Linked DNA regions of Drosophila melanogaster. The protein of the gene in region 1 interacts with the protein of each later gene in a pairwise test. Each region holds a gene or a part of one and is shown on either strand. Other genes may lie near its edges.

Evidence for each region.
Region 2: the proteins of CG7945 (region 1) and CG7970 interact in a two-hybrid assay, tested with the Drosophila melanogaster proteins (one large-scale study listed by BioGRID).
Region 3: the proteins of CG7945 (region 1) and trsn interact in a two-hybrid assay, tested with the Drosophila melanogaster proteins (one large-scale study listed by BioGRID).
Region 4: the proteins of CG7945 (region 1) and CG15564 interact in a two-hybrid assay, tested with the Drosophila melanogaster proteins (one large-scale study listed by BioGRID).

What each region holds. Positions count from the first base shown.
Region 1 is NT_037436.4:15,520,400-15,526,332, forward strand, and holds CG7945 (uncharacterized protein), read right to left. Parts: upstream 3,739-5,933; 5' UTR 3,434-3,738; exon of another isoform or gene 3,319-3,433; coding exon of another isoform or gene 3,113-3,318; intron 3,066-3,112; 5' UTR 2,817-3,065; coding exon 2,569-2,816; intron 2,182-2,568; coding exon 2,161-2,181; intron 2,104-2,160; coding exon 1,961-2,103; intron 1,797-1,960; coding exon 1,420-1,796; 3' UTR 1,312-1,419; downstream 1-1,311. Other genes in the region: yellow-k, read left to right, coding at 221-1,249; CG33986 (uncharacterized protein), read right to left, coding at 3,933-4,750, 4,809-4,824; CG33985 (uncharacterized protein), read right to left, coding at 5,513-5,731, 5,794-5,933.
Region 2 is NT_037436.4:1,650,994-1,656,089, reverse strand, and holds CG7970 (uncharacterized protein), read right to left. Parts: upstream 3,291-5,096; 5' UTR 3,215-3,290; coding exon 3,047-3,214; intron 2,960-3,046; exon of another isoform or gene 2,949-2,959; coding exon 2,836-2,948; intron 2,774-2,835; coding exon 2,515-2,773; intron 2,456-2,514; coding exon 2,228-2,455; 3' UTR 1,852-2,227; downstream 1-1,851. Other genes in the region: Srrm234 (Serine-arginine repetitive matrix 2/3/4), read left to right, coding at 1-565, 630-836, 1,364-1,529; Vta1 (vesicle trafficking 1), read left to right, coding at 3,291-3,400, 3,462-3,523, 3,608-3,758, 3,826-4,453; CG13920 (uncharacterized protein), read right to left, coding at 4,957-5,096.
Region 3 is NT_033778.4:10,477,816-10,482,507, reverse strand, and holds trsn (translin), read left to right. Parts: upstream 1-2,396; 5' UTR 2,397-2,469; coding exon 2,470-2,544; intron 2,545-2,597; coding exon 2,598-2,685; intron 2,686-2,751; coding exon 2,752-2,848; intron 2,849-2,910; coding exon 2,911-3,026; intron 3,027-3,082; coding exon 3,083-3,414; 3' UTR 3,415-3,497; downstream 3,498-4,692. Other genes in the region: Pef (peflin), read right to left, coding at 919-1,145, 1,218-1,281, 1,339-1,418, 1,966-2,185, 2,245-2,253.
Region 4 is NT_033777.3:31,231,199-31,237,720, forward strand, and holds CG15564 (uncharacterized protein), read right to left. Parts: upstream 4,165-6,522; 5' UTR 4,084-4,164; coding exon 3,901-4,083; intron 3,023-3,900; coding exon 2,906-3,022; intron 2,841-2,905; coding exon 2,564-2,840; intron 2,507-2,563; coding exon 2,349-2,506; intron 2,280-2,348; coding exon 2,190-2,279; intron 2,133-2,189; coding exon 1,422-2,132; 3' UTR 1,217-1,421; downstream 1-1,216. Other genes in the region: CG15563 (uncharacterized protein), read right to left, coding at 746-1,096; qless, read right to left, coding at 6,030-6,251.

The DNA.
Region 1 (5,933 bases):
GATATTCTCCGATTGAAATTGGTAAGCTTTTTTTTTTTGGGACCACAAGTGAATAGAGAAACACTCCAATGCTGGTCCCCATTAATGCAGGTCGCCGATATATTCGGCGACACCCGATCCCAACTGCTGATGTAGACACTTTGGTGGACTTCTTGAACGGGCACTTACAACGTAAGCAGAGTTCTCTAGCCCTAAGCTCAGTCTGAATTCGCGTTTAAAGATGGTCACACATGGTGTCCTCGGCTTGGGATTTCTCATTGTTGGTCTAATTCTGGCCACGGACGCCTGGCTGTTATCCGAATCTGGTTTAAACGAATCCAGCTACAAAGTCCGTCATCTATCGATGCACTTTTCGCGAGTGTTTCTCAGCGTAAATGTAGAAAGCAACGATGCGCCCACTTTGATCGAGGCGCAATGGCCGGTTTCCTATTTTCCCATGCCCACTGTCGTCTTTCCCCACATCGATGTTCATTCCATGGGGGATCATGATGATTGCTCTCTGGTACAACAGGCACACTGGTCCCAGGTGGATGCACTGAGTCGACTGTGGGTCATGGACATCGGATTTCCCGGCAGCACGTGCTCACCCCGTTTGTTTGTCTTCGATCTGATGCGTAACAACGCGGAGCTATTGAGAATCGATTGTGGACACCATATAGGTGCTAATGACACCCACTTTCTGACTGTCCAAATGGGACCCAAGAGTCCGGGATGCGAGCACGAGCGCCATATTTACTTCATCCTTGGAAAGGTACCAGAAATTCTAGCCTACGACATCCTGGAGCAGACGTGGCACCGCCTATCCTTGGAGAGCAATAAGTACGAGAATATGAATCAATCGTTTCCCATCAAGCCAGTGGATTTCATCTTCGGAATTCAAGGGGAACTCATACTCTCCGACCAGGATGGTGATCTATACAGTACGGTGGACAGACTGGAAATTGAAGGCAAAAGCGAATTAGCAAGCAAACCAATTAACAATAGCATTAAACTCACACATTTGGGCAGTCTTCTGGGCAGCAGTCGCAGCATGATCATCGACAATTTCGGAACATTGTACTATGTTATCCCCAAATTCGGAGCTGTCGTACGATGTGCCAAACTAGCCAACATCACAGCCGAGGGCAACGAAATCATATATATCACATCGAAGAACATTCAGCAGATTTTCTTCACCTCCAATGATGCATTATGGGTCCTAAGTGATCGGGTCTTGAATGCGAAGGACATGTGCTTTCCTAGCTTATAACATTTAGTTTGTTAATATAAATATTAAAATTATATTTTACTTGATTCAAACACTGCTGGCCTGGTGTATATGCTGCTTTCTTTATTATTCGTTTCATCTAGCTTGGTGATGTATTTCGTTTGGTTTGATAATAATGCTATGAATAGTTAATAGACCAAAAAACAATTTAATTAATGGCTAACAGTTTGCTTATTCAGATAAGCCATTAAGGCCTGGAGCCGCTTCTTGATGTTCTTCTGATCGTCCAGAGTGCAGCCAAGCAAAACGCTCTCGAACTTCTTGTCGACCGGCCCAACATCGGCCTCGGGCACGGTGTCCATGTGTCCGGATGGATCCATTGAGCTGCTGCAGCAGGCGTTTAAGTAAAACTGGCATCGTTGGCGTCCGATCACGGGATCACCCATCTTGATCATGCTGTCAATCAATACATTTATCTGGCTAAGGGAATCCTCCTGAGAGTTGTCCCGAACAGTGCGCACACGCAGCTCCACGGTGGCCAAGCGAGAGCTCACCCGTTGTAGGTACAAAATGATCTCCTCTCGTTCAGCTGCAAAAGAAGGTGGTACAACATTAGCTCACAGTCAACTATGAATAACCCTTTACTTAGTTTGTCATCAGAAACCATTACTTCCGACTTCGAAATAATACACATTTTAGTAAAGCTATGAACAATGAGGGTTCAAATTAGTTTTAAGAATCACTGTCACTTACCTTCGCTCATGTTCTGCATCATTTCGTTGCTCTTGATCAGATCCATGGACATCAGAAGGTAGTCTTTCTTCTCCTGCAGGTTGAGTGCATCCTTGCGCAGCTTCTCCACACGTGCATCCAAACTATCCAGTATGGTGACAAATCTGCGAGTCACTCAAAGGTTAGTCACGCTCAGTGGTTATTATAAATTCAAGATTTACCTCTCGCTGGCGTTAAATGGTCTGTCACATGTCGGTTAAGTGTGATTGCGGTTCAGTGGTTAAGTCATGAAACGAGACAAGCAACGTTAGATTGTTAGATCGCTCTGCTACAGATCGACTGACCACTTATAGAGCTACGAAATTATAACCAGAATATGTCTACAAGAAAAGGCGCTCGCACACAAAGCTCTTTTGAGAGTTGTGTGGGCGTTCGCGGCAGATACTTTAAGCTATCACCATTACTATTATGGAACAAAAGATTCGAATGAAGCTGGTAGCTGGTAGTGTGAAGAAATAATAGATAAGAAACGTATAACTTTTGTTTCGCTACGAGGTTGTGTGAATATAATCGGTGGTATTGTTTTGGTTTCGTGTCTGATTTGGTTTTAGTTATGATGGAATAACAACCTGTCCAGAGCTCTACTATCGTCGACGAGTCCGTAGGAGCTGTTCCCGCCATTGCCACCACCTCCGGATCCGGATGGGGATGAGGAGGCCATGGCATCGGCCCTCAGGTCTTGCAAATGATCAAAATTCATGGATGCCTCCGAGTGGTAATCGCTGGGCGAGATCTGATGCAGCTGCTGGTGATAAGTACTATGGTGATGATGATGAGTGTCACTGGTTTCCTGCGTTGTTGGCGCATCAACTTCCATATCCTGCGGCTGCTCCAGATTTGATTTAAACCTGTCGCCCTCCAAAAAGCCGGTCAAGTGTTTGTCACCCAAGATGGTTGGATAGCTGCCTACTGTTTCGTTTTGGGTTTTGGTTTTATCTTATTTATTTTTTTTTAGCCGCTTTGCTGGCTACTTTTTTTGGAATGTCTTAAGCTTTTTTTTTCGAGTGGGTGTCGAAGTGTTTGATGCTGTTGCTTAAGCTTAATTTTATCTGTTTTTGCTTTGAAGCTGCAATAAGAGAGAAGAGGAAGCGTGAATGCGCAGAATTCAATTACCTATCTGAATGTGGGCTGTGAAAAGAGCCTTCGGTCCAGGAGGCGTCAAAGCCATCATTGGACTCGGGCGTATCGGCTTCTATATCTTCCGGATATCGGTTTATTATCTCCGCCTCCTGGGCGGGTTGCGGCGGCGGTGGCGGCGGTGTTGTGTCCGACTCGCAGCGACGCCGTTTCCGAAAAATACCTCGAAAATTCTCAAACATTCTCGGCTGAAATCACCAATTTTCTAGAAGATTACGCCTAATTCTTCTTCTTTTCTTGTGGCAACCGATGTCTAGGAGAATCCCCGGGTGGCTGTTTTGAACTTGAATAAATTACCTGCCGCCCGAGACTTGAGGCTCCGGTTTTAATGCACCTTTGGCCCGATGCAAAAATATTGTTGATTTTTCGAGTTGGGCAGTTTGAGTTAGATGACGGGAAATGCTTGTGTTTCCAGATAATTCGTAGACACCGATTAATCTAACTTTGTTAGCTTCATTTTTGAGCACCTGGGTTGTTTACTTCGAGGGTCAATCGAATATTTCGCTTTACTTAAATGAAGATAAGTATAAATATGATTAATTTAACATTATATTGTGGGATTTGTATGACCGTGTCTGACTACCGCAAAAAAGAACAGTGGCCATATAGTCAACTTTATCGAAACCGATTCATCGAACATTGTTGTCGAAAGTTAGTGTGTACACACATTAGTTCTGGTTTTCATCTGTAATCGGCGGGAGTTTTAAAAGTAGTAGTACTTTTAAAAGAAACCTCTCTAAAAGCATTTGGTATCTCCCAAAGTTCAAAAAATTGTATGCTACATATATTAAAACTTCTATTTTATTAGTGGTGCCAAATTTAAATCTCGCACACACTGAGCCGTGCGCGACCATTGACAACTTTTGGTGGCAATATCGAAGAAGTAATAGAAAGGACATTGCTGCAGGCTGGCGTGTCCTTTGACGCAGTAGATAAAGAACTCGCATCGCTGCATATGGGGATACAGATGCTGTCCGTAGGCGGGGCAGTGAATGAGATCACTCGAAATGGCGGTGCCACCGGATGGGAAACCGGAATTTCCATTCGTTGGCATATCCTCCTGACCACCTACGGTGCACTGGGCTCTCTCCGGAATATCGCATTTACCCGTCATTGCATTCCAGTGCAATTGCGAGCTGCACTCCTGCAAGATCGCCTGTCCATAGTAGCAAATATAGTACTTTCTGCAACTACTCGAGCTGCCGACATATACAATCCTGTCGCTGGATTGTTGTTGCTCCACCAACGTGGAGCAATAAGTGGCGGCATCCGTGACCATGTTATTCGGATCTCCATCACCATTTCCGCCATCGAATGGAGGAGTCTCTATGGGATCCGTTTCATTTCTGCACTTTACATTTGTCGCCGAATCGCAGAGTCTGCTCTCCGAATTGAAGAGCATCGTTGGTGGGCAGGAAGCCAGGACTGCATCCCCGTTCTCAACGCACAGGTAAAACATGTGGCAGTCCTCCGCATGCTCCACAAACTCACCAACCAAATGATTGGCACATATTCTACTACCACTCTGCCTGATGGTCACCGAGTTTGTGGGCTTCGATGGTCTCCAGGTTAATTGCGCTGTGGCCAGCAAGCAGTTCACGATCAAATAGAAAGCTGGAAACCAATAAATTCTCATCATACTATTAGTTTTGAGAATATCCATCTTACTAACCCGTATTAAGCATCATCGTTTTTTCTATCGTCAGACTCCAGTAGAGCGCAGTTATATTCTAATTTCGTAATGCCCGGTGAACTTGGCATATATGTGATACATTCGGCGCCAAGATACAGCCGCATATGTGGCTCAGTATCAGAAAATTAACATTTTCAATTGCTTGTAGGAAGAAGTTGATAAGACTCCTGTATTTTGTTTTGCCAAAAAAGAAATATGGCTCCCTTTCCTCGCAATCAATCGATATCGTATCTCGAAATGGCAAGCAGATACAACTTTAATGCTGGATTTTTAATTTTAAAGTCTGGTGAAAAGGAAGCCGAGATTAGCTAGGAAATTGATTAGGTGATATCACGATGACATATGTTGTCCTTGTGAGGAAAATCGTATCATATCGGTCAAATTACTATGTTTCAAATCGAAGGTTGGCCTATTTTGGCAAATGTTTCGATTCAAGGTCTTCATTTTGCAGAGATATGAAAGAATTGCTTGATATCACCTGATAAATTTAGGAAAGAGTCAAGGTCGGCCGTGTTGCTTGATAGTTTTACAAAGAAGTCTTATTGATTACCAGTATTTAGGTTTATTCCATATGTAAACATACAACACTTTATGTTCAATATTTTCAATTTTTCCACAAAGCTCGTTAATTAACTAAATGTAAAATTTCGTTTTTTTTTTTTAATAAATATTATTATGTGTATTTAATAAATTTTCATTTGCATTTGCAGCTTGTTGTAGCATTTGGCTTGACCTAGTGCTACACAGGATCGCTTCTCGTAGTCCCATCCGTAGAAGAAAGGACACTGCTGGACCATCAAATAGCCAGAGCGACACTGGTAAAAGTAATTGCAGTTGTCGGAATGCGGATAAACATCGATTACATGTCGCTTGCACTGCTCCCTGGGATTATAAGTCATGGCCTGTAAATAAATAATTTATTATACAAAAATTATAAGATATGAAGTACCATAGGTTAACCCACCAAACACCTAACGTTTTCGGGATGATCGCATTTTCCGGTGAGTGAATTAAAGTGCAAACTGGTGGCACAACTCATGGGAAGTGCCACACCGCGATAGCAAATGTAATAATCTGAACAGGAGTTCTGATTTGGCAGCAATG
Region 2 (5,096 bases), about 14 Mb from region 1:
CCACAAACCGCCTCAACCACGGTCCCCTTCTAACCGCCACACACTACAACATCTGCAAAAACCACCAGCACAGCCTGCAGCAGCAGCAGGCGCACCACCTGGCTCGTGGCTTGGTCTACAACTCGGCTCTCTTCGGCCATGGACAGCGCCATCCGGGACTGCTGTCCCTGACGGGAGCTGGTGTGGGCATGAGTGGGCCAGGTGCTCCGCTGTTGGGCCATCCGTCGCATGTCCGGGGTGGTGGCGGGCCCATTAGCTTCAATGCGGCGGCAGCGGCTGCGGCTGTGGCCGCCAATAGTATTAGCTACCTTCATCATCACCATCAACACCAACAAAAACCGAAAATCGTTATAAAACCCTTCAAAATTCACGATCCACAGCCTCTAGTCGCGGCGCTCGCGGACAGCTCACTGGTGGATGCTATCGTCTCCAAGGTATCCACGGCCACCGTGGCGGCGGCGGAGAGTGCGGCCCGTAGGAGCCGCAGTCGCGAGCGTCGTAGTCGCAGCAAGAGGCGCACCAGCACCAGCCATCATCGACATGACTCCAGCAGCGAGTCGAGATCGTAAGTACTTGGCTGAGCAAGTTTCTAAATGTAGACTAATGCTAAATCTTATCCCTCTTCGTAGGCGGTACAGCTCGTCCAGCAGTCGCAGCGGATCGCACAGCTCAAGGTCTGGGTCGCACTCCTCCCGCACCAGCTGCTCCACGAACAGCAGCTCGGGCAGCTCCTCCTCCGGCAGCGGCTCCGGATCATCACAGTCCGGCTCTCGATCGCCCTCCATCCCAAGGCGTCGCGGCTCGCCAAGCTTTCTGGACAGACGTCGCATAACGAGGTAACTTGGCAGGATTCCTGCCCCGCCTTGGTTGACCTCATTATTTCTTTGAATAATCGTTTTCTTTTACATTTTATTTGTTCTTTACATTTTATTTCGTAGCCGTCGATCGCCGCGCAGCACAAGACGCTAGTGACTGCTTATATCCATTACACGATTGAGTTACAATAATTTTACACCTTATTTATACAGCACGAACTCTTGATTTCTTCTAAATGGTTTTATTTTTTCAGCTGACTCAGGAACTACTTATAATTTGATTATCTTAACTACTCGCCAATCTTCTTTTATATATTTGTAGCTATCAAATTGTGTGTCATCCTGATTTTTCGTAATTTAGCCAAGCCGCAAATAAACTTTGTCACTTTACCGATTATATGGTTTTATAGGATTTCTTTTGTTTGATTTTTAGCCACTGCTTTTCTATTCCTTACGATTTTCAGTTTGGTGAGTTACTTTCATATTTGCCCTTTGGTTTTTAAGCTTGCTACACGAATCCCATACTAATCTATTCATTATGCTTTCAGCGCTCGCAAGCGACCGATTCCCTATCACCACAAGGCGAACGCCGAGGGCGAGGTGGAGGATGCCTCTAGTTGCTGCTCCAGTTGCTTTAGCCGCGCCAGCAGTCCTGCCACGCCCCTTCTCACGCCCCTGCGCAACAGCCGGAGTCCGTCGATGGCCGCCTTCTGAGTGTTAACCGCGTCGCTGCGCAGGATGTGCGGCGAGTCTTGAGGCACAGGTGCCCCCCACAATCATCACCATCATCGTAGTCACCTCCTCTAGTCAGAATCCTAGTTTTAAGATAGTTGTTATGCGCATTTAACTTGTTTTACACTGCATTCCGTAGCCCTAAGTTAGTCATCTGCCCATGAATTTACTAGCGAAATTATATTGTAGCGCCGATAAAAAGCCAATAATTCTCGTTTGTAAGCCTTTGCTCGATTATTTGCTAGTTCTAAGCTGCGTTTTAATAAAAAAAAAACAGACATTATTTGTTGCATCTCAAAAGGTTGCCTTGGAATTTCTCAAATTGGGATCCATTGTGCGCAATGGAAATGGGATGTTAGATCGACGATTGTCGCTACTTGTTAAGCATTTCTGTTGGCCAAATTTGGCCATGGATATCTAGATATCTTATACATTGTATATTAGTTTATTTTGGTAAGAAAAGTTTACAAAATTTAGGGTTTAAGGTATAACAACAGTCGGTTGATAAGGCGCCCCTCCAGTTAGTTTTAGCTTATCTAAAGTGTTCAAATACACACGGACTTTTTGCAATCCGCCGGAACGCGGGAAGATAAAGAACTTGAAGCAGTTCAGCCGTAATCTAAGCAGTAATTGGAATATTAGGCCAAGACGACTACCACAGGGTTTAAGGGTCGTATAGCCTATTTGGCTGCCTCTTTGGCGGCCAGCTTGTCCTGGAAGCGGCGACGCTTCTGGGCGATGTACACCACCCAGATGAAGGAGATGATGGCCATGCTGATGGACCGGAACATCGGGGGCACGTAGGCGAAGTTGAGGTACACGAACACGGACAGGTACTGCCAGTTGGCCTTCAGCAGAGGCCAGTAGAGCTTCTCAACATTCTTCAATGCAGTGCTGGGAGACTTGCCCTGTAAGGGATTACAAATTATAGTTCTAGGAACTGAGATTGCGGATTATGGATTCTCACCTCGAACAGGGCCAAGAAGAACAGGGACAGTGCCTGGTAAATCGGAGCATAGACCAGTCGCTCGGACAGGAACAGGAAGAATCTTCGGAAGCGCACATCCTGGCTGAAGAGTCGCTCCACCGTCGTGTAGAAGTAGTGCGGCACACTACCGCCGAAGATCAGTCCAAAGAGTCCGTAGGCGAATACGCTCTGCTGGTTGAGGGTCTTGGCGCCCGCCAAACGCTGGGAGGTGACATTAGCCGAGGTGGCCAGAACGCATCTGCAGTAAGGAGCAGCCGGTGGGTGAGGCGAACCGGATGATAAGGCGAATAGTGTACTTACGCCGTAATGGATTTGGTGCGGACCGGGTGGTTGAAGAGCTGCTCCAGATAAGTGCCGAAGAGCGAGTACAGGGGCTTGGAGAGAACCATGTTGCCGGTGGTGCAGAGATGTGCCTGGAATGTGACTGGTGTGAAGGATGCAGGTCAAAGTGCAAAGTGCAACTGGTCGCACTGATAACAGCGAAAACCAGTTCCCAGAGTCCAGTGCTTACCTGAGAAACTCCAAACGTTTTGGTCGCAGATTCGCAACTGAGCGCCGAACCAACAACTTTAGCCGAAGGTACAAACTTTAGTATTTCGCTAGTTCCAGAGTTTGGAACTGGGGTGGTTCCATGGCATTCGAGAAACTGCGATATCTGGTCACTCTGCGTGCTCGTCATTTCCATTGTTGTCGGCATAATTTTCCAGATCCGTAATTAAGCATAGAACTAAAGATTAAGCCCTCTTTCCACCACGATGGAGTTTCCGCCTTGTCCTCCCTCGCTGAAGTCCATCCAACACTTTCTGAAGCTGGCCCAGGAACATGATACCCGGGATGTGGTCATCGCCTACTGGGCGAGACTCTAGTGAGTATCTACAGATTAGTTTTTCTTGTTTTGCCCGTATTTACTCATCTTCCGAATCCAGTGCTCTCCAGGTGGGCCTCAAAGCCTCCACCCAAACGGGTGAAGAAACCAAACTGCTGCTGGGTGAGTGAAAAATCCGATACGCATATTACCAGCCTATGACTCATCCGTGGTTTGTTTTGTTTTGGTTTTCCCTACGACCGCCAGGCATCATGGACTGGCTGGAGCAGATGAAGAAACAGTATGCTGAGAACGAGGCCATCACCAACGAGGTGGCTGCCCAGGCACACATCGAGAACTACGCCTTGAAACTATTCCTGTACGCCGACAAACAGGATCGCGAGGAGAACTTCGGAAAGTGCGTTCCCTTCGTAGAAATACCCTGAATCGATTTTCCTGATTCATAAGATTGTGCTTCTTCGCAGAAACGTCGTTAAGGCCTTCTACTCCAGTGGTGTGCTCTACGACATTCTCCAGACCTTCGGTGAACTGAGCGAAGAGGCGCTGCACAACAGGAAGTACGCCAAGTGGAAGGCCGCCTACATCCACAATTGCCTGAAGAACGGTGAGACACCGATTCCCGGCCCCTTGCCAGACGACGACGATGAGGCGGAGCTCGAGGGGGAGAATGCCAACGCCTCGGCAGACACATCGCCGGAGGACGCCGCGGGAGCAGCTGCTCCAGCGCCCTACCAGCCGGAGCCTGACTCACAGCCACCAGCTCCATCATCACCGACAACTTCCGGAGTGGTCCCTCCCACCGCCGAGGAGGTGCTGAACAACCCGAACAAATTGCCCAGTCCACCGGTGGACGAGGAGAAGCCGGGCGGCTTTGTGCCCTACGTGCCCACAGCTCAGCCTAATCCGGCCACGGCGGCCACCATTTACCAGCCCATTGTGCCCGTGGCCGGGGTGCAAATCACTCCCGACCAAATGATTACCGCCCAGAAGTATTGCAAGTACGCCGGCAGTGCCCTCAACTACGACGACGTCAAGACAGCCATCGAGAACCTGCAGAAGGCCCTGAAGCTGCTGAGCACCGGGTCCGAGTAGGGCGTACACATCCACATTCACACGTATTTAGGAATCGCTTCCTTGGCACAGTTATAGCTTAGAGCACCAGTATAATGCCGCATAATCTCCTGCTAATCGCTCGTTTGAGGACGAAAGTAAAACGAAATTCAGATTGACTGACGTTGGATTATTAATTTTAAATATGTATGAGTTGTTCAAATTTATTAAAATTGTTTCTAAAGTCGTAATTTAAATGGTTCCGACTAAGTGCCCGTTACGAAGAGGATTTGATTACATTCTGGTTTGATCTGGTCGCGTCTACAGTTTAGTTAATATCTCTCGCCATTGCATACAATATAGTAGTTCTGTATACGATAATAATTTGGCACCAAAGTGAAAACATGAATTTCGATTTGCTAGAATGATGTGAATGAATTTGAGACCCGCAGACAGGGCGCGCCATCTCGAGCCCAACTTAAGGTGCTAAAACAAAGCTGGATCAGTGAATGACTATGAGTACGTGATGCACCGGTAGCAGGCACCTAGTCCTGCTTTACGCCGTTCGCAGCAGGCTGCGCTGCCGTCGTGGCCTCGTCCTGGAGGCGGGCGGTCTGGTACCAGACCACCAGGCGTCCGCCCAGCATGAAGGTGAAGACCAGCGCCGGACCGGAGCGCTCGAACG
Region 3 (4,692 bases), on another chromosome or scaffold:
AAAAAGTTCCCAGCATCTTGCCCAGAAACCCTCTGCCATCCAACGATCTCTTGACTTGGCTTGATTAAGCTACTAAGACCAAAACTTTTGGTAACTACTCGATAAGCTCAATCGATGCCATTTACAATGATATACATTATGACTGAATTAGTTAAGAGAATTGCATTGAACTGACAACTGAACAAACCATTAATTAACCAATTGAAAACCAACTATTCCTCGCCCTGAAGACATTCGTTTCATATATTTATGGACTTTAAGACTGAGTTTATTGTATCTTAAAAATTATTAACCCATGACCAAAAAAAAAACAAAAAAATTGGAACATTGTACGATTCCCAAACCAAAAACCAAACACTTATTATGCCTAAATGTTTTAACTGATATTAATGTTTGTATCTTACCATTAAGCTTGTGTGCCGTCACATTGAATCGCCCGATATTTTATGATTGTATACTTAATAAGATTATAATTCCTAACTGCATATCACGTGGTCTTCACCGATCGACGAAGACACGATTACGAACTGTGGGCAGTGTGACTGCTAAAATAAGACATGATTTTATAATGAACTTTTCATATACAATGTTTACATTTTAAATAAAACGCAGATATCTTTTAATTTTTAAAAATACGTGTGTATAGTTTATTATTAGGCGCAAGAGACTTTGTACTATGATTATTGAGTCGAACTGCGTTAACAAATACTTTTGAAATTTGATTCTGATACCAGGAGATTGCAATATGACTGTGGAGTGATTCATTTACATATTAAAAAGCTAACACCGTTGAAAATTTAAGAAAAATGCACCAGTCGCGAAATTTATGATCATCCACTGTTGGCTGTAGTGTGTGTGTGTGTGTGTGCAAGACTGTGGAGATGCATTCCCATGGAGCGGTTGCATTGAATCATTCTTTCAATACGAGCAGCCAATGGCCACGGTGAGGAAGTCCTCGAACCCAATGGTGATGGTTCCATTCTGCTGGGTGTCGCGCTGCCTGAAGGCCTCCGTGAAACGCTGCACCTGCACGCAGAGCACTATGAACTGATCCACGGACACCTCTTTGTGGCCCTGGGGGTCGCTCTTCTTCACCAGGAAGTTTATGAATTCGGGCGAGAATCGAAAGCCCATCTGGGTGAAGGCTGCCAACAAGTTTGGTAATTAGTGTAAAAGGCCATAAAGGAATTGGAGATTCAGTTGTTGTGTTAGCTTACCTTGGGTCAGCTCCTGTTCCTCGATATGTCCAGAGGAGTCCTGATCGTAGGTCTTGAAGACTTGCTGCAACAGTGATACAATGAGTCAGACTACTTAGTTTCGATATAAGAAATACCTTACCAGCCATTGGTTGATGTAGTTGTAGAGCTTCTCGAACTCATAGATATCGATGGTACCACTGGCGTCGTTGTCGAACATGCCTGTTGAGTAAATTAAAAAAGGCGATAAAAATACAACATAAATCGCAGGGTAAACAAACGGAAAAGTGTCTGGCGCTCCAGGTGATCTAAACAAATATGCATGTACCCTAAATTGGGGCAATAAATACAGTGAAACATTTATAGCCGAAAGTATAACTAAATTGATACTGACTGTCTGTTAGGGGAGTACTGACGTCACAGTTTCCGGAAGGGGAATCGAAGGAATTTTAAAGTATTTCATAACTGAAGCTTACTTAGCTATCATCAGCTCACAGGATGATCTAAATATATGTGCCCATGTGCCCTTCATTGGTTCTTGGCATACAGCGGGTGTGCTAGGCTACGCATAGAAGATTCAAATCGACAACCTGTTCTTGTGTTCTTGTGTTACTATATTGCCTACCAAACTAGTTTAGCTTATGATCGTCTTTTAGAGGGTCTACTGTATAGTATACAGTGTATACACGTTTGTTAGTGTTCACCTACTGACGTCACAGTTCCTGTAGAGGAAACTTTGGGATCTTTTTTGGGCAGGGCTTAAGCTTACTTATCATCAGCTTGCAGGCATTATCCGAGAAGTGATCGCCACGCCCATTCACCAGGGCCGCCTGCAACTCGGAAGCGTTTATCTTTCCAGATCGGTCGCGGTCCACCATGGAGAACCATTGCTGTGCCTGCGGAGACACCTGGGCATTCTGCGGCGGAAATGCTCCTGGCGGCGGGGCATAGCCACCACCGGGCTGGGCATACGGGTTATAGCCTTGTCCCTGTGGATAAACGGTAGTAAGTACATTTAATCCACTTTCTTAAGCATAAACACACTCACATAAGACATTTTGTCACGAGCCTAGTTCGATTCTAATTGGAACTTGAGGGACAAAACAATTTTAATGAAACTACAGATGACAAGAAGGGCGTTCACCAACACTGGTTTGGGCAAGCGATAACAATGTGACATATCGATAGCATTGCTAGACTTATTGCTTGGCTATACTCCCATCCCTATCGCCGGTATAAACAACTAACAAAAGCAGCAAAACATTAAGCAAAAATGTCGAACTTCGTGAACTTGGACATCTTCTCCAACTACCAAAAGTACATAGACAATGAACAGGAAGTCAGGGAGGTGAGTTGACGGTTAATATCCTAAAAACCACCATCTTAAACCATTGTTTTTAGAACATCCGCATTGTGGTGCGCGAAATCGAGCATTTGTCAAAGGAAGCGCAGATTAAACTGCAGATTATTCATAGCGATTTGAGCCAGAGTAAGTTCTGTACAATTTGGTAGCTTGTATGTTTTGTTCTAATATGACATTATACTTGAACAATAGTTAGTGCCGCCTGCGGCTTAGCCCGCAAACAGGTTGAGCTGTGTGCCCAAAAGTACCAGAAATTGGCCGAACTGGTGCCAGCTGGGCAGTACTACAGGTGAGTCAGATGGTGAAATCCGTGGTGTCTATTGTGGGTGTCGAATGCTCCGCCTTCTCCAGATACTCCGATCACTGGACCTTCATTACGCAGCGTTTGATCTTCATCATTGCCTTGGTTATTTACCTGGAGGCGGGCTTCTTGGTCACCCGCGAAACAGTGGCCGAAATGCTGGGATGTAAGCTAGATTTGGAAGGCTCTCTGGATACGAAATAATAGTTAATTACTCCACAGTGAAGATCAGCCAGTCTGAGGGCTTCCATCTGGATGTGGAGGACTATCTACTGGGCATACTGCAGTTGGCGTCGGAGCTCTCCCGATTCGCTACCAATTCCGTCACCATGGGCGACTACGAGCGTCCCCTGAATATCTCCCATTTTATTGGTGACCTGAACACGGGCTTCCGTCTGCTGAACCTGAAGAACGATGGCTTGCGAAAGCGCTTCGATGCCTTAAAGTATGATGTCAAGAAGATCGAGGAGGTCGTCTACGATGTCAGCATACGCGGTCTGTCCAGCAAGGAAAAGGACCAGCAGGAGGAGCCGGCTGTTCCTGCAACCGAATAGTTTACTTCGTACGTAGGATAAGGCGTTTATTAAAATGAAAAAGTTTCATTTAAACAAGCAAATATATTACATTCATTAAACAGAGTATCATTTTATTTTACTATTTAAATCAGGAATGCTCGTAGGAATCAAATGTAGCAGGATATATGTATGTAATCCTGTGTTAAAAATCTGAAATGTGTTTTTGTTTTTTTTCAGAACACATTTCTTTACATCTTAATAGGCACCATCTTATTTTAATGATCAGTTTACACAGAAGCGAAATAGTGCTTTGAACCATAACAAAAAAACATAAGTTTGTGCAACTTAAAGGTAATTAAAATGGCTGTGCGCGTTTTGATTAAATCATAACTAAGTATACATAGAGACAAGTGCAGAAGTTTGATGGCTTAACCCTTTTGAAACTTGTTTAGCCACCACCACTGGGCCGCAGTTGTTGTTGTTGCCCCGATCATATGGTGGATTTGTTGCTGCTCTTCTTTGGCCGCTGCTTCCGTTTCGCCTTTGCTTCTGCTTCTCAGGCGCAGTTTCAGTCTCTCTTTTGCCACCGCAACGCTTACAACGTTAACATTGCGCGCGCGTCTTTGCATTTTCTTGTTTGCTGCTTCGTCGTCCGTCGTCCTTCCCGTGTTGTTCTTATTGTTTTTTCCCGCTTTGTGCGCTCTTTATTGTTTCGCCCTTTCTAGCATTTTGATTTGAAAGTGGAGACTGCAATTGGTTACCATTTCAAGAAAGTAAGTCTGGCGGGCAGTTGGCCGTGTGAAAAGTCCGTTGGCCCAGAAACTCACCCGCTCTCTTGACCACGCCCCCTTTTCCGTCCCCGGCCCGAAAAAAAAGCTAAAAACTGAGAGACTCCAACCTGTTTGGCAATAATTGGGTCACAAATCTGGTAAAAACTTGTTGCCCGAAATGGTCACTAAACAAATAGCACTGTTTTTATTACAAAACTTTAGTTGAGTCTGCAGTTGCCTTGTTGTTGTTTGTTTGTTTTAATTTTTTTATTTCGTTCCGCAGACATAGTTGTTGTTTGGTGTTTTTCAAAACACGCTTTAATCGAAGCGGTTCAAAGTCCGAAACAAGTTTCCTGAGAGGCTTAACGGGGCACGCTCTCTCCTTGTTGCTCTTTCCCCTCTTCTTACAACGCACTGAGTGGGAGGAGAGCGAGAAATACTGAGAGAGCTTTCGACGTAAACATCTGAAAAGCAAAACCACAACAGACACCCACACACTGACGGGCAGGTGTTGCTCTCTGCGTCTCTCTTTCTTCCTACCCCCATT
Region 4 (6,522 bases), on another chromosome or scaffold:
AAATATTCTCTTTTTGCTTTATGTGATCTATTACATACTACATAAACATATGTATAATAATAAAAATGTCCTTCAAAAACAAACTCGAGAGAAATGATTGAATTTATTTTTCCTAGCAGTCGGAACGATGCAGTTTGAGGGCAACTGTTTAATGCTAAAACAGTTTGATGGGAACTGGTTGCCAACGAATATTTAGGTACAGTAATCGCTATGTTAAAAGTGGTTTTAATTTATTAATATATTTTATTTTTCTGTATAATTGATTGTTTTGTATTTACAAGATATTACTTATGCTATATATAAGCCAAAATGAATTATTTGTCAATATTAAATTAACAAAGATTCGAAAGAGTTCGTAGATCTATTTTTTTCTTTATTACCTATTTATTAAACTACCTACACTCTCCATCAAAAGAGATTTTGTAATTTAATTCACCACCCTGACCATATTTTTTAGTTTTCCCTTAATTTAGAAAACAACCTATTCAAAACTTTGGTCAACTTACTAGAAGCAAGTTGGCAAAATTTTCACAGAGATAGTACAAATGACATATAGGCTGATATTAATATTACTGGAATTGCGAACTTGAAGAACCTAAAATAGTAATAAATAAATAATTACTCCAGTAATGTGATTTCATGGGTCTTGGCATCGATTGATTTCTGAGCAGATGACTTAAGCGCACAAACTACGAGCCAGTCAGAAGGTGAGGGAATATCCTTGAATATCCAAGAATCCTTGGCCTTACGCCGATTCGCTGGCGCCATAGAGCAGATTGTCCAGTTTCAGTTTGTTGATCTTGTCGCCACGGGCTCCATGTCCTGGTCTGCCCCAGAACGTTTCGAATGTGTCGAAATGTTGGTTGCACAGATCCCTGTCCAGTTGCTTGGAAACGGAGACGGATCGACGGTTCTGCGAGATCTGGACATTCAGGTCGTGCAGATAGCGCATGTCGGCGGCCGTTTGAATCCTGGTTGCCGGTCGATTGGTGGGCAGCAATATTATAGTTTCATTTATATCAGTTCGATTTTTCAGATTTCGAATTTTCGATTTTCGGTTTTCAGTTCGATTTGTTTTGCACGGGGATACATACATAGAAGATTGGTATTATGATTTTTGACTTTTGCTGTTGCGGTTTGTTTGATTTTGGTGAGATTGGTATTTGGTTTGCTCGTTTGGTTGCTATACTTTCACTTGTATTACAATGGATATTTTCTTGCTGGATGAGCCGAGGAGAAGTGGGGGATTAGAGAAACCATTAACAGAACAAGATCACAAGGCAAAGGCATAGAGGGGCAAGCGGACTTTCGTTTCAATGTCTGGCGCAGAGCAAGCAAATGAGAAACGGTGGGAGCAGGGAGGTGGTGGAATGGTAGTACTATGAAAGCAGGAGGGGATCGGGATTGATAGAACGTGGGTTTCAAGCCTGGCGAATGTGCAGGGTCAGCCGCTTGAGGCAGCAGCCCGTGGCCAAGGCCGTGGGGCAATCGCAACTGCAACACTGCAGCTTGCAGTTCAGATTCTTGGGCAGCCGCTTCATGTGGCTAATGTTCTTGATGATGCTGTTGATGCACTTGATCTTGGTGGTGGTCAGCTGACAGTTCTTTGGTGGATGCTTGTGCTTGGATGCGTACCTATCGTGCGACGGTGTCCTCTTGGTCACGTCCGTGCTGGAGAGACTGATGGGTCGGTGCATGCCACGCCTTCTGGCGAGCAGGGGAACCAGCTCCACCCCACCACCTTCGCCATAGGCTCCTCCCTTTCCTCCCGCTGTGCTGGGATCCGGAGTGGCGGTACTGGTGCTCCCGGGACAGGGACCTCTCGACGCTATGCGGGGGCACAACTTGATGGGCTTGCTACCGCAGTCCTGCGGCTTCAAGTGGTGCAGCATTTTTCCGGGCGGCGGACCTGGCGGACCCGGGCACTTTTTGCCTGGCGGAATGGGAAGTGAGAGTGGCGACGGCTTGGGCGGACTCTTTTGCATGGCGGGACATTTGCAAGTGCACAACTCACAGCAGCGCTGCGGCTTTGGTGGCTTGCCTGGTCGCGATTTGCGAAAGGTGTTCTTCTCCGCGGGAGTCACCGGGTTATCTTGGTCCAACTCCTTCAGCATCTCCTTGTTCGTCCAACCCTGAAATTAGATTATATTTAAACAGTGTACATATGAGCACAAGCGACTGATACCCACCAGTGACTTCATGAACGTGTTGCCCACTTCCTTGGGACTCCGCCATGGCTTGCCGCCCGGACCCGCCTTGCCCCACGGCTCCTTGCAGGACTAGAAGGAGGACAGATAAAGAGGGATTAGTTAAACTTGGTTTCAGGGGGCGTAATAAGTGCCGCTCACCGGCTTTTCGAGTTTGGCTTGCAAGCGCTTCTTCTGAGTGGCCAGCTTTTCCTGCAAAGGACATCGCTGCTCACTCTCGCTGACTACGATCTTCTCCAGAAGCGGCTTCCCCTTGCACGGAGGAGAGGGCTTGTACCGCAATTCTATGTCCACATGGCCTTTATTGCGAAACGACATTGAAGGATGTTCTTTCAGCTCGATGTGAAGGCTCTCACCGTTGGCGTTTTTGGCCACATTGACACCAACTGCCGCTCCGGGCTTGTGCGGAATCTCCCGCTCGCAAATCGTTACGGTGCTGCTCCTGGGACCACTTTCCTGCAGGTGATGGACCGAGTGGGCGTGGCCCAGTCGGCCACCCGGCGGCGGAGCAGGCGGGGCGTGGTGGTGGTGGTGATGGTAGGCGGCCAGCGGGTTGTTGTGGCACTTCTTCTGCATCGAGAAGAAGTCGTTGTAGCGACACGGCTGCAGTAGATTCATTCGGTGGGCATTGGTCTGCGGCACATTCAAATTATTGGAGTAGAATATATGTTATTCGAGAAGGATTCAAGAGTCCTTACCACTGTGGGCGTCGAGTGAAGGCCAGCGGCTGTGATGTCCTTGCGTCGCACCTCTACGTTGGGTGCCCCACCACCAGGTCGACCCCAGGGACAATGTTGGTGAAACAGGTCGTAGTACTGGATAAAAGAACATTGTTGATACGAATTGATCTTCAACTTATTTCAGTAAAGATTGTGATGCTTGGAAAAATCGTTTAGGCAAACTAACGTATCCTCCGCTGAAATCATGAATCGCATTACCCGCAATAAAGTCACAACATAAATACATTAAATTACTTCCGCAGGACGATTACAACACCGAGTTATGCCTTATCGATTGGGTGGCAGCCTATTTGTGGCTCCAGACTGCCTCAACCCACCTCGTCGTGTCACTCCGCGAAGTGTGGCGATGTTTGTTTACGGAAATTGGCAAATTCAGGAGCTCCCGCTGCCCTGGCCCACAAAGTTTGTTAGTAGGTTGTTGTTATAGTTGCAGCGAACGGCGATTTGCATTTCACTGATTTTTTTCACCCACATTTCGGTTGGCGCTTTCACACAGCTGCAGGTTGTGATAGGTAGTGGAGCAAGGAGCCAGGACTCCAGTCACGCAAGGACTCGCAGGAGTTGGGCTTTTAGCCGAAGAGAGGGGATTTGATTACCGAAGTCGAAATTGTCAAAGGGTTTGTTGAACCAGATCCGCGGGGGCGGATGCCTTACATGTTGCTTGAGGCAGGTCTTTGAACTTACCAAAAGTTGCAACTATTGCGTGGCGGATGGTTCGAGATGTTTTTCGATTGTCATTTCGTTCGTTTCTGGTTTTGCCTTAGACTTAGACAAAGAACTTGGAACTTGGTGAATTGATTATGGCCTTTAAAGTTTTAAAACTAATATATTTAGGGTTCAGAGTTCCAAGCTTAAGGTGTTTCAGGTAACTACTAACAACTTTGCTTGGGGCCCTAAAATATAACTCATACGCACGGTCTGGAAATATCACACACATACGCACTGTTACCCACCTCCTGCTTATCCTTCTCCTTGCGAGCACACTCCTCCGCCTTCCGGCGCCGCCACATGCGAAGACTCTCCTCTGCATTCTTGCGCTCCACAAGACGCTTCTTCTCATCGCACCACATCAGCGGATGCTGGATGTGGTCGTGGCAGAAGTTGCCCCCCATGCCCATTTCATCGCTAGTCGTCATGGCTCTCTGAATGCTCTGGAGATCCTATCTGGATGTTTGGGAAACTGGTAGAACGAGAACAGAAGTAGCGCTGCGTTCAGCAAACGCGGCGTTACTGAATCGGTCTCGTGTCCCATCCAAGCCGTTTAACCGCCGAATTGGCTGCCAGGATCCGTGCCAGGCACTAAAGGGCCGTGGATGATGGGTCGGTTGTCTAGGCAGCACGCCCGACTATTTATAACCTAGGTTAAGGCACACTTCGGTCGTCTGTCCTTGAAGGCGAGTCGAAGGATATCGAAACCTCAGCTAATTTGGTCTGGCTATTTAAATATTTCGCCAGTTAGACACGATGTTTGCCTGCTCCACTTTGCTAGACTGCCTGGACATAAAATATATTGACTTTATGTTGCCTGGAAATAATGCCACGGCTGCGTTGGCTTAACCTGAATCGTGATGCTCTGTTTTAATGAAACGCAAAAGTAAGCCTACTGCAGTATAGCGTGCCACTTAATACGAAACTTGTTGATGTTTTAAAATGAAAAGCTCTTGCAAGCCTAAGCAGCAAGCATTACTCATACGCCCCGTGTGGCAGTTACAATTTCAGCCAGCAACTCACACCGCCAAATTTATTTGTTTGCCCCAATTTCGGTTTCAGCCATGCCCGTTGCAACATAAGGCATTTTGGCCATGTCCAAAACTATTTCACTGGGTCAACCTGGTTGGTGGTTAATATGTTGCATAGCTACAAGCGGCGAAATCAGCTCCAATTTGCTTGTTTTACAAAATCGAATTTTTATTCATCTCATTAGGTATACAAATATCGTAATTACATGTATCAATATCAACATCTGTATCATTATTTTGTCGTTCGCACTCTAAAATATGTGGGTATATCGTCGTCAGCACCCAATTGTATTGATTAACTAGCCAGCAAATTTCTGCATTATATCTTTCATTTGCCTTTCTTTCAGTGTAGAGCAGGCTGTAAAGGAGCCCAATGAATTTGCATCAAAACTAAACGGACAAAAAAACGAATTTCGCTGACTAACTTAACTGAGGTTGTGTTTATAAATTAAAATAAAAACTTACATCTAAAAAGATTTGTAGAACATTTCAACATTTGGGGTTTGCGGTTCGAATTCGTTTCAAATGTCTTTTAAATTACTATTGCATTAGAGGCGGAGAAGAAAGATTTAAAATTAAGACTGGGCAGCATTGTTTCACATACAATCCTCGTTACATTTCTTATAGAACATATTATAATATGCATTTCATGCGCGAATGGTTCAAAATATTTTATTTAATCCAGCTAAACTACGGGCTTTCCACTTTAAGTTACAAGTTTGTGCGGTCGGAAGGGATTTTAAACAGAGTGCAGGCAATGACCATTGAACCATTTAGGCATGAAATGCCCTAAATCAAGTATTAATATAAAATAAACCAATTATGCTCCTCGTGCTTCGTATTAAAAATATCGCTCTACACACTGGCTTTCTTTGTTGCATTGACTAATAAACATTTTCATTTTAAAGTAGATTCCACATTTGGTGCTCGCCTGGCAACCCATTTCCATTCATTTATTTGATGAAATGTTTGTACAATTTTCTCGTTTCCCCTATTGTTGTTGGCTTTTGGCTCATGTTTCGCTCTCTATACATATAAATAAATTTGTCGAAAAACATTGCATACAAAATTTGTCAAAAATTCATTAAACATCTTGTAATTATGTTATGTACAGCGATCGTTGCCATTTAGTGTGTGTTGATTAGGTTTTTTTATGCAATTATTTACAGTGTCAACAACAAATGCCTAAAAACTAAATAATAATTCTTGTTTACAAATTGGCCCGCCGGCTGAACAGGACTTAATCCAAACATCAATGGGCCTACATAACAATATTATTATTAATATTATTATTATTGCATTACGTGTATGGTTTATGTTAGGGTGTTCGGGTGCTCGGTACTCTACTTCATGCGGTTGATGACTAAGTCGGCGACCACCTGGAGACCCTTCTGGTAGGGCGACTCCGTGAGCTCCTGGGCCAGCCGTATCGCCTCGTTGCAGTGCTTCTTGGCCAGAAACCGGGTCTGCTCCAGACCGTGCGACTTGTGCACCAGCTCGAAGGCGCGCTCCACGTCGCCGGGCTCGCTGAAGCGCCGCATCACCATGGGATTCAGCTCGGGGTACTGGAATGTACGGAAAAGGCATTTCAATTATGCAGGTTATGCAGTTTGCAGCTATGTAGCGGCTTTAAACGCACTGCACGCGTGCACAGCCCGCGGAATGCATAGCAAATGGGCATTGGTAATCGGTGGCAATTGATGAGTTACAGTCGCATTGTATCATCTGCGCATCTAGCCAACCACCCACCCACATGACATCATCACACCTTCACCGCCCGCACCATGAATACATCATCGTTGCGATGGCGCGAAGCCACTTTGGATGCATAGCAAA